Canis lupus familiaris: one gene and its partners. Each later gene encodes a partner of the first gene's protein in a complex. Links are inferred from orthologs where the notes say so. Each region holds a gene or a part of one and is shown in the gene's direction. Other genes may lie near its edges.

Region 1 (4,159 bases):
CTCCCACTCTAGGGCTGACCCCCACGGTTATCTACAAAGGGTTAACTCATTCCTGCTGGAAGGGGAGTTAAGATCAGACAATGTTACAGATGTTTCTTTTAAGAGCTTTCCCCTTGCACTTGCCTCAGCTGCTCCAGGAGCTGCTTTATGTATGGTCATGGGAGGAGGAGGAGGAGGAACTGGCAGCCTCTTCCCCGCCCCCACGGTTTCCGTGCAGAAGGGTCAGGTTCTGCGATGCTTCCAGCAGCTCTCGGGAATAAAACCATCCCAAGGCCGCTTGGGCACCCAGGCAGGATTCTTTCCGCCTCCCCCGCACCTCACCTCTGGAGAAGAGGTCCTGGCCCTCGAAGTGGATAGAAGGGCACTGGTCAGCCTCAAGAGGTAAGCGTAGCAAGCTGTGCTAACGACTGGGTTTGGCCTTCTCTTCGCCCTTGGCTCCGTGGCCCTGCCCTCAGCCCACTGCTCGGAGGGCCGCAGCCTAGTGGCGCCAATTCGCACTCGGTAAACGGCGGGTTTGCTGGCGCGGGTTTCTCCGCCTCAACCCTGCTGAGCCTCGCCTTTTGCATGGACAGCCCTTGGTCATCGCGGCCTTTCCAGGGACCGCAGCAGGTGATACCTGAATGCGGAGGATCCCTGCTTTGTGGGGCGTGGGCGCTGGACAGGGCTGAGGGAGCGGCGTGCTTAGATCCTCTTCACCGTCGACCCCGGACCAGTCGGGGGATGCTACGTAAAGAGGCCGCTGGTCAAGAGTCGGGAGCCCGGCGCCCACAGGCACTGCCACTCCTGTTCCACGCAGCGCGGGCCCCCGCGCCGGAAGCGGGAAGCCTAGGGCCGGCAGGAGCGAACCAGGCCCGCTCTCGCGATGGCCCCCATCTCCGCGCAGCCCGGCCCCAAGGCCGCGCGGTGGCGCCAGAGCTCAATGCCGGGCCGCGATCGCCCGCCGGCCTCCCGGCCCCTGCCCCGCCCCCGGGGGTCACGTGATGGGGGCGGCGCAGTCCGATGACGCACACCCGGCGTAGCTCTCGCCCCGCCCGCCGCGGGGTCACGTGACAGTCCGGCGCTGCCTGATAACGCGACGCCCAGCCCCTGGGCGCCGCTCCCGCCCCGCCCCGCCGCCACCGCCGCGCCGAGTCCTTTTGTCCAAGATGGCGGCGCCGGGGGCGCTGCCTCCTCGGCCGCCGCCGCCGCCGCTGTGAGGGGCCTGCGGGCCGCCCGCCCGCCCGCCGCGCCGGCGCCATGAAGAGGCAGAGCGAGCGAGACTCGAGCCCGAGCGGGCGCGGCTCGTCATCGTCGGCCAAGCGGCCGCGGGAGCGCGAACGGGAGGCGGAGGCGGGCGGGCGGCGGGCGGCGCACAAGGCCTCGGGCGGCGCCAAGCATCCCGTTCCAACGCGGGCCCGCGACAAACCCCGCGGTAGCGGGGGCGGCGGGGGTGGGCATCGCGACGGCCGCGGCGCCGGGGACGCGAATCACCGTGCGAGCAGCGGCCGCTCCTCGGGCTCGGGCGCTGGCGGCGGGGGACGCGGTGGCAAGGCCTCCGGGGACCCAGGCGCTTCAGGTGCATCACCTCGCGCGTCTCCGCTGCCGCCACCTCCGCCACCGCCCGGGGCCGAGCCCGCGGGGCCCGGCTCATCGGCGGCCGCACCCGAGTACAAGACGCTGCTCATCAGCAGCCTGAGCCCCGCGCTGCCCGCCGAGCACCTCGAGGACCGACTCTTCCACCAGTTCAAGCGCTTTGGCGAGATCAGCCTGCGCCTGTCGCACACGCCAGAGCTGGGCCGCGTGGCCTACGTGAACTTCCGGCACCCGCAGGACGCACGCGAGGCCCGCCAGCACGCCCTGGCCCGCCAGCTGCTGCTCTACGACCGGCCGCTCAAGGTGGAGCCGGTGTACCTGCGTGGCGGCGGCGGCGGCGGCGGCGGCGGCGGCGGCGGCGGCGGCGGGAGCAGCCGGCGAAGCAGCAGCAGCAGTGCTGCCGCCTCCACGCCGCCCCCAGGGCCGCCCGCGCCCGCCGACCCGCTCGGTTACCTGCCGCTGCACGGCGGCTACCAGTACAAGCAGCGCTCTCTGTCCCCAGTGGCCGCCCCTCCGCTACGGGAGCCCCGCGCCCGCCACGCCGCGGCGGCCTTTGCCCTGGATGCTGCCGCCGCCGCCGCAGTAGGACTGTCCCGGGAGCGGGCCCTGGACTACTACGGTCTGTACGACGACCGCGGGCGCCCATACGGCTACCCCGCCGTGTGCGAGGAGGACCTGATGCCTGAGGACGACCAGCGGGCCACGCGCAACCTCTTCATCGGGAACCTGGACCACAGCGTGTCCGAGGTGGAGTTGCGGCGGGCCTTTGAGAAGTACGGCATCATTGAGGAGGTGGTCATCAAGAGACCTGCCCGTGGCCAGGGTGGTGCGTATGCCTTCCTCAAGTTCCAGAATCTAGACATGGCCCACAGGGCCAAGGTGGCCATGTCGGGCCGGGTGATTGGCCGAAACCCCATTAAGATAGGCTATGGCAAGGCCAACCCCACCACTCGCCTCTGGGTGGGCGGCCTGGGACCTAACACCTCACTGGCCGCTCTGGCCCGGGAGTTTGACCGCTTCGGGAGCATTCGGACCATTGATCACGTCAAGGGAGATAGTTTTGCTTACATCCAGTATGAGAGCTTGGATGCAGCTCAGGCCGCCTGCGCAAAAATGAGGGGCTTTCCCTTGGGTGGTCCAGACCGAAGGCTGCGTGTGGATTTTGCCAAAGCAGAGGAGACCCGGTATCCCCAGCAGTACCAGCCCTCACCCCTCCCTGTGCATTATGAGCTGCTCCCAGATGGATATACCCGGCATCGAAGCCTGGATGCAGACCTCCGGGTGCGGGATAGGACCCCCCCACACCTCCTGTACTCAGACCGGGACCGGACCTTTTTGGAAGGGGACTGGACCAGCCCTAGTAAAAGCTCTGACCGCCGAAACAGCCTGGAGGGCTACAGCCGCTCAGTGCGCAGCCGGAGTGGGGAGCGCTGGGGAGATGGGGACCGGGGCCTGCCCAAGCCCTGGGAGGAGAGGCGGAAGCGGAGGAGCCTCTCCAGTGACCGCGGGAGGACAACCCACTCCCCTTACGAGGAGAGGAGCAGGACCAAGGGTGGTGGGCCACAGGTGGACCGGGGCTCTGACCGCACTCCTGAGCGCAGCCGTAAGGAGAATCACTCCAGTGATGGGACCAAGGAGTCGAGCAGCAACTCCCTCAGCAACAGCAGACACGGGGCTGAGGAGCGGAGCCACCACCACCACCACGAGGCTCCAGACTCTTCCCATGGGAAGAAGACCCGAGAGAGCGAGCGCAATCATCGGACCGCTGAGGCTGAACCCAAGCCTCTGGAAGAGCCAAAACACGAGACCAAAAAGCTCAAGAATCTTTCCGAGTATGCCCAGACACTGCAGCTGGGTTGGAATGGGCTCCTAGTGTTGAAAAACAGCTGCTTCCCAACATCTATGCACATCCTAGAGGGGGACCAAGGGGTTATCACGGGCCTCCTCAAAGACCACACTTCCGGGAGCAAGCTGACCCAGCTGAAGATTGCCCAGCGTCTGCGGCTGGACCAGCCCAAGCTCGATGAGGTCACGCGGCGCATCAAGCAGGGGAGCCCCAATGGCTATGCGGTGCTCCTAGCCACCCAGGCGACCCCCAGCGGGCCTGGCACTGAGGGGATGCCCACGGTGGAGCCAGGCCTACAGAGGCGGCTTCTCAGGAACCTGGTCTCCTACTTGAAACAGAAGCAGGCCGCAGGGGTGATCAGCCTGCCGGTGGGTGGGTCCAAGGGCAGAGACAGCACAGGCATGCTCTACGCCTTCCCGCCCTGCGACTTTTCACAGCAGTACCTCCAGTCAGCACTGAGGACATTGGGCAAGCTAGAGGAGGAACACATGGTGATAGTTATAGTAAGAGACACTGCCTAGCCCAGACCTGGCTCCAGCTCCGCGTTTGTGTCACAAAAGCAGTTCTTTTAAAATCCGACCACCACCCTTCCCCACATCCTACCCCTTGGTTTGAATTCTCTGCTGGGTTATTTTGGTTCATTTGATGGGGGAACCAGAGTCCTGACCCCCACCAAAACTAAGTTCTTAAATTTGGGGATTTTGTTTTTTTGTTTTGTTTTGTTTTTTTCCAGCAATGAGA
Region 2 (4,414 bases), on another chromosome or scaffold:
CCACATCGGGCTCCCTGCATGGAGCCTGCTTCTCTCTCTGTCTCTCTCATGATGAAATCTTAAAAAAAAAAAAAAAAAAAGAAAGAAAGAAAGAAAGAAAGAAAGAAAGAAAGAAAGAAAGAAAGAAAGAAAAAAAATACAAAGAGGACTTCCTAGCTGAAAACTACCTTCTTCTGTACCTCAAATGGGTGAAAAATGCACGACCATATCTAGCACCATATTTAGAGAAAGGGCAAAGGTACGGTTAAGCCTCCTCCAACCTCCCAAACAAAAAAACAAGCTCAGCAATTGAAAGCGTCTTGGAAACCACTTAGTGATACAGAAATTTACCTTTCAACAAAAGCAAGGGTTAAGTCTGATTCACAATTCCCCTTGGCTGTAACTGTACCGAAAAACTTGTTTAGGAAGCTTCAGATGCCGCGGGGAAGTGTATTTCAAGACCCCAGGAAGGGGCACCTGGCTGGTTCGGGTGGTTGAGCATCTGCCTTTGCTTTGGCTCAGGTCGTGATCTTAGGGTGTGTGGGGGGGTCCCCTGCAGGGAGCCTGCTTCTCCCTCTGCCTAGGTCTCTCTCTCTGTGTCTCATGAACAAGTACAATCTTTAAAGGCCCCAGGAGAACCTCCATCCACCGGCGAGCGCGGAGCACTCAAGGTTCCGCTCCCGAGGACTCCACGCCGATGTCGCTGCAGCACTACCGGCCCAGCGCACCGCCGCACGCGCTCCCTCCAGGATTCGGGGCCGGAGAACGCTCCTGGGAGGAGGGCAGGAGAATCATCATCATCATCTTCTTCTATCGATCCAGGAACTCTGGCACGGAAAGCGTGAACCACCCAAGGTAACGATGTCGTCACCAAGGGACGACAGGAATAGAACCCAAATCCCTGGGCTCCCAGGCTCGTGTTTTCTCCTTAATCGTGCGCTCCTTCCCACTCCTCCGAGAGCACCAGGTGCGAAGGGTCGGAGAAGGGAGCGCACACCCGGAGCCCGGTCGGCGAGGCCGCCGCCGCCTCGCTCAGGGGCCCCCGGACCCACTCCGCGGCGCTGGCCGGGGACGATGAAGGCAGCCGCGGCCGCGACCCCCGGCGACCAGGAGCTGGAGCTAGGTACCGCCCCGCTGCCCCTCCCCCCGGGCCCCGCGCTCCCCGCGCTCCCCCGCTCCCCCGCCGGGCGGCCCCGCCCCGCCCCCACCCCCACCCCGCGGAGGGGCGCGCGGGGCGCCTTGCTGCGTCTCCGCCGCTACCACACCTCCTCGGTGGGAGCACGGGCCGGTACCACGTGCGCTCCGCGGGGCCCGCCAGGACGGGGCGGGATGGAGACCGCACGCCGAGAGCCCTCCCCGCTCCCACGGCGCGGCCGTCCCCCGGGCAACCTCCCGCCGAGGACGCCTTCCGGAGCGCGCGCGGCTACGCACCCCCCCCGCTCCCCGCACGCCCCCCCCCCCCGCCCCGCGCGGAGGACGCCGGCGCGCGCGCACTGCGGGCCATTCCAAACCGTTACTCCGCCCGCCGGGGTGGGGCCAAGCCCAACGGCCGAGTCTGCGCAGTTGCGCCCGGCCGGCTCCGAGGCCGCCGCGCACTACAAGTCCCAGAAGGCAACGCTCCGCGGGGGCGAGCAGCCGCCTTACCTGCCGCGAGTTCGTTCCACCGGCTGCTGGTGCTCTCCCCGTTCCCCCGTGCCCTCGGGTCTCATTTCTGTAGTCAAGGCTTAGCACCTTCGACCTGGAAGCTCTTGGCGTACCCCCCTTTGTCTCCCTCGAACTATGCCAGACGCCCTCACCGGAGTTGGGTAGTGCACCCACCCGACAGAGGGGAACCTGAGGAGGCCCAAGCCGAGGCAGCTCGGTCGCACTTCCGCCTCGCGGGCTCCGGAAGGGAGCGCGCACGCGCGCCCTGCGACTCCGGCGCGGTTGACTTCCGCTCCCACTGTGCCCCGCGAGCCGAATCATGGATCACACTGGTAAGGAGGCGGAGGCAGCGGGGGTCCCGGGTCCATGCCCCCTCGGCCGGCCTGGGACTGGCTGCCCGGCGGGCGGAGCGGGGATGCGCTCGCCCTGCAGCGCTGGGGGGTGGCGGTGAGAGAGAAATCCCACAGACCCCTCCCGGTGCCCGGCAAGGGCCTGCCGTTTCCCGGCCTACCCTCCGGTGTGGTACCTACAGCCTCGGTGCCGGCAGCAGCCGCCGCTCTGGTGCTGCGGAGCTCCCCGCCCGCACGGTGGGCGGCGCGGCCTCGTGGGGACCGGGGCGCGCTGCCTCCTTTTTTTTTTTTTTTTTTCTTTTTAAACCGTGGTGCCCCGCTCTGCGTTTCGGGTGCCGGCGGGCAGACTCCAGGCTCAGGGTCGGGGCGCGGGAGGGGGCTGCGGGCGGGCGCTGCGGGGGGCGCTGCCGGTCCTTCGTGGACCCGAGGCGGAGCGGGGAGCCAGGTGAGAGTTTTCGGAATCCTGCTCGGACCGGCTTTTCTGTCTGAGCCCAAAGCCTGCTCCGCGCTTCGGCTGTGGTCCTTACTCCTCTTTCGGGGGCGTTTACAAAGGAGAGCTTAAATTCAAGATACCCGCATCTCTTTCTCCAAGTAAGAAGGACTCCGCTCTTCGTTGTGTGTTGTTTGGCTTTTTTTTTTTCATCGTGGCTTTTGGATAGTGAGTGAGTGAACCTGGGGCTGCTGTTCCGTGTGGTTCCATCAGCCATATCCTAAGTAGGATAAAAGGATACTTCTTGTATTAAGTATTGGGTAAGGTGTTCTCAGTCATCAAATGCCTACTTAATTTTGTACATATAGGCGTAAAATTATTTCTGTCTATAAAATTTAGTGAGTGCTAGTCAGCAAAACCTATGCCAGACCCCAGTATGCCTAGAGAGGGAATGATGGACTTGGAAACCAGGCCAACTGCGTTCCTGGCCTCATGGAGATTACATTCTGTTGGGAAAGACACGATAGAGAAGTTTTTGTTGTTGTTGTTGTTTTTTAACCTAAGCATTACAGATCATGATGAGCGCTTGGAAAAAAAATTAACAGCGTCTGTGGTAAAGACTAAAGGAGGAGGCTTCAGAGAGAGTGGTCAGGGAGGGTCTTTCTGGATTTCTAAGCTGAGATATGATAGATGAGAAGAATCCCTGCATGGAATTAATCAGGAGTAAAGCGTGTCTAGCAAATATGAAGACTCTGAGGAAGGAAAACGTAGAGGTCAGTCAGCTACAGCTTAGCAAGAAGCAATGAGCCCTAAGAGATTGGAAGGGACGGTGGGAGTCAGATGGTACAGGACTTTGAAGGCCGTGGTAAAGATTTTATTTTATTTTTTAAAGATTTTATTTATTTATTCATGAGAGACAGAGAGGCAGAGGCACAGGCTGAGGGAGAAGCAGGCTCCATGCAGGGAGCCCGATGTGAGACTCAATCCTGGGACTCCAGGATCACGCCCTGGGCTGAAGGCAGGTGCCAAACTGCTGAGCCACCTGGGGATCCCTGAAGCCATTGAGCAGGAGTACAGGAGGAACATAATTTCTTTTAAAAACACAGTAACTTGTTTGTGGAGAATGGTGTGAGAGACAAGACTGATAGAAAATAGTTTAGATGGTGATTGCAGTAGAACACTAAGAGAGGCTCGGTAATGAAGTTGGTTCGGTTTAAAGAAAAGGGGAGTGGGCATATCGAATGTTGTGGTGGAATTCAAATAGGAGCTTTGTGAGAGAAAGGAGAGATGACTACCTTTCTGGTTTGAGCAGCTAGGCAGTGCCCGTTACTAAGTTGGGGAAAACTTGGGAGGAAAACAGACGTCTTTTTTTTAAGTGGTAAAGGGAGACTTGGGAACTTGAGAATGAGATTTTTGGCTGCAAAGGATGAGCTGTGTACGAGGATATATAAGGGGAGATGTCAAGTGGAGATCAGAGGAAAGATCTGGGTTGAAAAATATGTATTTGAGACTTATGAGCAGGTAGCTGTTGTTTTAAGGAATGGGGATGGATGAGATCACTCAAAGAACAAGAATACAGAGAAGAAGAGGGCCAAGAACCGGGCTGTAAGGAACTCTGGTTTTGGAAATTTTGTAGAATTGAGATCTGGGACCTTGGTGTTAGAGTAGTAAACATGCAACTTCAGCAAAACACTTCTCATTACAGCCCCTTACTAGAATTGAGAGTGAAGCGCCTTCCACAGTTTAGAGGATAGTATGTTAGGAAGTTGTAGTGTGGCTGGGTGTGTCTCTGAGTATTATCCTAGTTCTCCAAGTTAAAATGTTGACCAGAAAGTAAGAGTCATCCTGGCATGAAAATATTCACAAATGATCTGACCACTTAAAAAATTAGTTCCTACTCAGATATCCCTGCTGCTCCTTTTCTGTTTTTAAAAGATTTTATTTTTAAAGTAAGCTCTGCACCCAACCTGGAGCTGGAACTTACAACCCCTAGATCAAGAGTCACATGGTC
Region 3 (2,491 bases), on another chromosome or scaffold:
AAAGTGATAGTTGTTAGCTCTTACTATATGTAAACATAGTGACTAGGAGATTTTTGTATAGTAATGAAGGACTTTCCTTTCCCAAGCTTTTTTAGGAGTAAGTGGATATGTGAATTTTATCAATTTTCAAGAGTTATTTTTTCTGATTTTTGCTTTTGTTCTAGCATAGGCCTCTTCGGAGCATTAGAGGACCCACTGCTCCCTAGGGCTAAACTTGCTGTGGAGCTGAGATAGACAGTAGCTAGGGGGGTAAGGAGGAAGGGGACTGGCCATGTGGGCCCACAGGTAAACAGATGTGGAGTTGGATTTGGGATATAATCAGTTGTATAATATGGCTAGATTTGAATCAGTTTTAACTTGTTTGCTTTATAAAACTATTTTAAGCATGTCTCCCCCCCCCCCCCAAAAAAAAAGAGAACCAAACTCATTCTTAAATGGCTATTTTTAAATTTGAAGGAAAATTTTAAGATATATATATATTTTTTTAGAATTGTGTTCACGTAAACATTTATTGACTATCTGACTTTGTGATAGGCATTAATAAAGTCTGTTATAAATCTTTTAAAAATAAATGTTATAAGAATATTAAAGTAGGTTTGACTCTCCTTTGCACAGAACTGAATGACTTCATCATTCAACTTGACGAAGAAGTAGAGGGTATGCAGAGCACCATTCTAGTTCTTCAGCAACAACTGAAAGAGACGCGCCAGCAGTTGGCTCAGTACCAACAGCAGCAGTCTCAAGCTCCAGCCCCAAGTACCAGCAGGACTACATCTTCTGAGCCTGTAGGACAGGCGGAGGCCACAGGTAAAGACTGCAGTCGGCTGGCCAACGGACCAAGTAATGGCAGTTCCTCCCGGCAGAGGACGTCTGGGTCTGGATTTCACAGGGAGGGGGACACAGCCGAAGATGACTTTCCTTCTTCTCCAGGGAATGGTAATAAGGCCTCCAACAGCTCAGAGGAGAGAACTGGCAGAGGAGGTAGTAGTTACGTAAATCAACTCAGTGCGGGGTATGAAAGTGTAGACTCTCCCACGGGCAGTGAAAACTCTCTCACACACCACTCAAATGACACAGACTCCAATCATGACCCTCAAGAGGAGAAAACAGTGAGTGGGAAAGGTAACCGAACTGCGGGTTCCCGCCACGTTCAGAATGGCTTGGACTCAAATGTAAATGTACAGGGTTCAGTTTTGTAATATTTTTTCCAGCAAATTTTTATACAGTGTCATTTAATTTGGGAGAGGATACTGTCCAGAAAATTAACGCATACTTTTGTCACAATTTGCCTTTTTTTGTGGGTGTGGTTTTTTTCTTTCCCTTTTTCTCCCCCCTCTCTTTCTTTGCTTCAATACCTCTGCCACTTTGGAAATTGTAACAGTTAATTACCTTGAATGTTGCTAACAGGACATTTTGTGTAGGGTCAAGTTATTTTTATATGAGTTAATGTGAAGTTGTAAATGGAAATCTTTCCTTAAAGTATAACACAATGATGTCTGTATAAATCTGTGTCTATCCTAGAACCTGTGCTGTGTAAGGGCATTCTTACTCATGCTGTTATTATACTTATGCACCATTCAGACTTGTTAGAGTAGATGTGGGTTTATGACTGCCAAGTTTGCCCAGTACAGTAGTTTTATCACTAAAAGTTGGACTTGCTGATGGAGTCCTATAGTAGTTTCAGTGTTAGATACAGTTTTTTCCACCATACATCCGTGCATTTTCTCTTTAGGTGACTGAATGTTTAAGAAATTTGTGTGCATAGTTACTCAGTTTTTATGAACTGTTGTATCCTGTTAATGCATATTGCTCTGTGACTCCAGTATATCTTACCTGTACTGACCAAACCTAAATAAAGATTTTTATTGTAACCGCTTGCATTAGTTTTTTTTATTTGTATCTCTGTGTTTAGCATGTCATTTATTTTTATTGAATTGATGAATTTTTACTCATCATCCTTCAGCATACCACAGTGGTGAAGCTTAAGTTCATGCATCAATCTTGATTGTGCACTTAGTTTTTTAGAAATGTATGCTTTGGGGTGTCAGGTCAGCTCGGTTGGTGGAGCGTGCAACTGTTGATCACAGAGTTGTGTGTTACAGCCCCACACTGGATGTAGAGATTAAAAAAATCTCTAAAAACTGTTTTGCAAGATCAACATGGAATTTAGGACTATAAATTTTTTTTTCTGATTTGTAAAAAATCATAAAATATTCAAATATTCAGAAAAGAAGAAAATATGTAAGTATTTGTCAGGTTTTAGTTGAAAAGTACAGTTTGTTTTTGTGAAATGATTTCACGTAATAGGGATATCTGTATAGTCAGTGATGTTCATTTTAAAACATCGGCTACATTCAGGTCACAATCTCAGGGTGGGTGAGATCAAGCCCTACGTCGGGTTCCGTGCTCAGTGCACAGTCTGCTTAGAGTTTGTCTCTCCCTCCGGTCCTCTACCCCCCTTCCACCCCCCATTTTCGCTTGCTCTCTCTAA

What was found.
Region 2: RBM15B (region 1) and CBLL1 share a complex: the UniProt entries of both Homo sapiens proteins name them as parts of the WMM complex. The link is inferred for Canis lupus familiaris from reciprocal best matches to the Homo sapiens genes RBM15B and CBLL1.
Region 3: RBM15B (region 1) and WTAP share a complex: the UniProt entries of both Homo sapiens proteins name them as parts of the WMM complex. The link is inferred for Canis lupus familiaris from reciprocal best matches to the Homo sapiens genes RBM15B and WTAP.

The regions. Positions count from the first base shown.
Region 1 is NC_049241.1:38,597,395-38,601,553, reverse strand, and holds the start of RBM15B (putative RNA-binding protein 15B), read left to right. Parts: upstream 1-1,236; coding exon 1,237-3,939; 3' UTR 3,940-4,159. UniProt on the Homo sapiens protein: RNA-binding protein that acts as a key regulator of N6-methyladenosine (m6A) methylation of RNAs, thereby regulating different processes, such as alternative splicing of mRNAs and X chromosome inactivation mediated by Xist RNA.
Region 2 is NC_049239.1:13,103,169-13,107,582, reverse strand, and holds the start of CBLL1 (E3 ubiquitin-protein ligase Hakai), read left to right. Parts: upstream 1-1,568; 5' UTR 1,569-1,942; coding exon 1,943-1,955; intron 1,956-2,082; exon of another isoform or gene 2,083-2,210; intron 2,211-2,400; exon of another isoform or gene 2,401-2,564; intron 2,565-2,591; exon of another isoform or gene 2,592-2,723; intron 2,724-4,414. UniProt on the Homo sapiens protein: E3 ubiquitin-protein ligase that mediates ubiquitination of several tyrosine-phosphorylated Src substrates, including CDH1, CTTN and DOK1. Targets CDH1 for endocytosis and degradation.
Region 3 is NC_049222.1:49,506,662-49,509,152, forward strand, and holds the end of WTAP (pre-mRNA-splicing regulator WTAP), read left to right. Parts: intron 1-615; coding exon 616-1,199; 3' UTR 1,200-1,871; downstream 1,872-2,491. UniProt on the Homo sapiens protein: Associated component of the WMM complex, a complex that mediates N6-methyladenosine (m6A) methylation of RNAs, a modification that plays a role in the efficiency of mRNA splicing and RNA processing.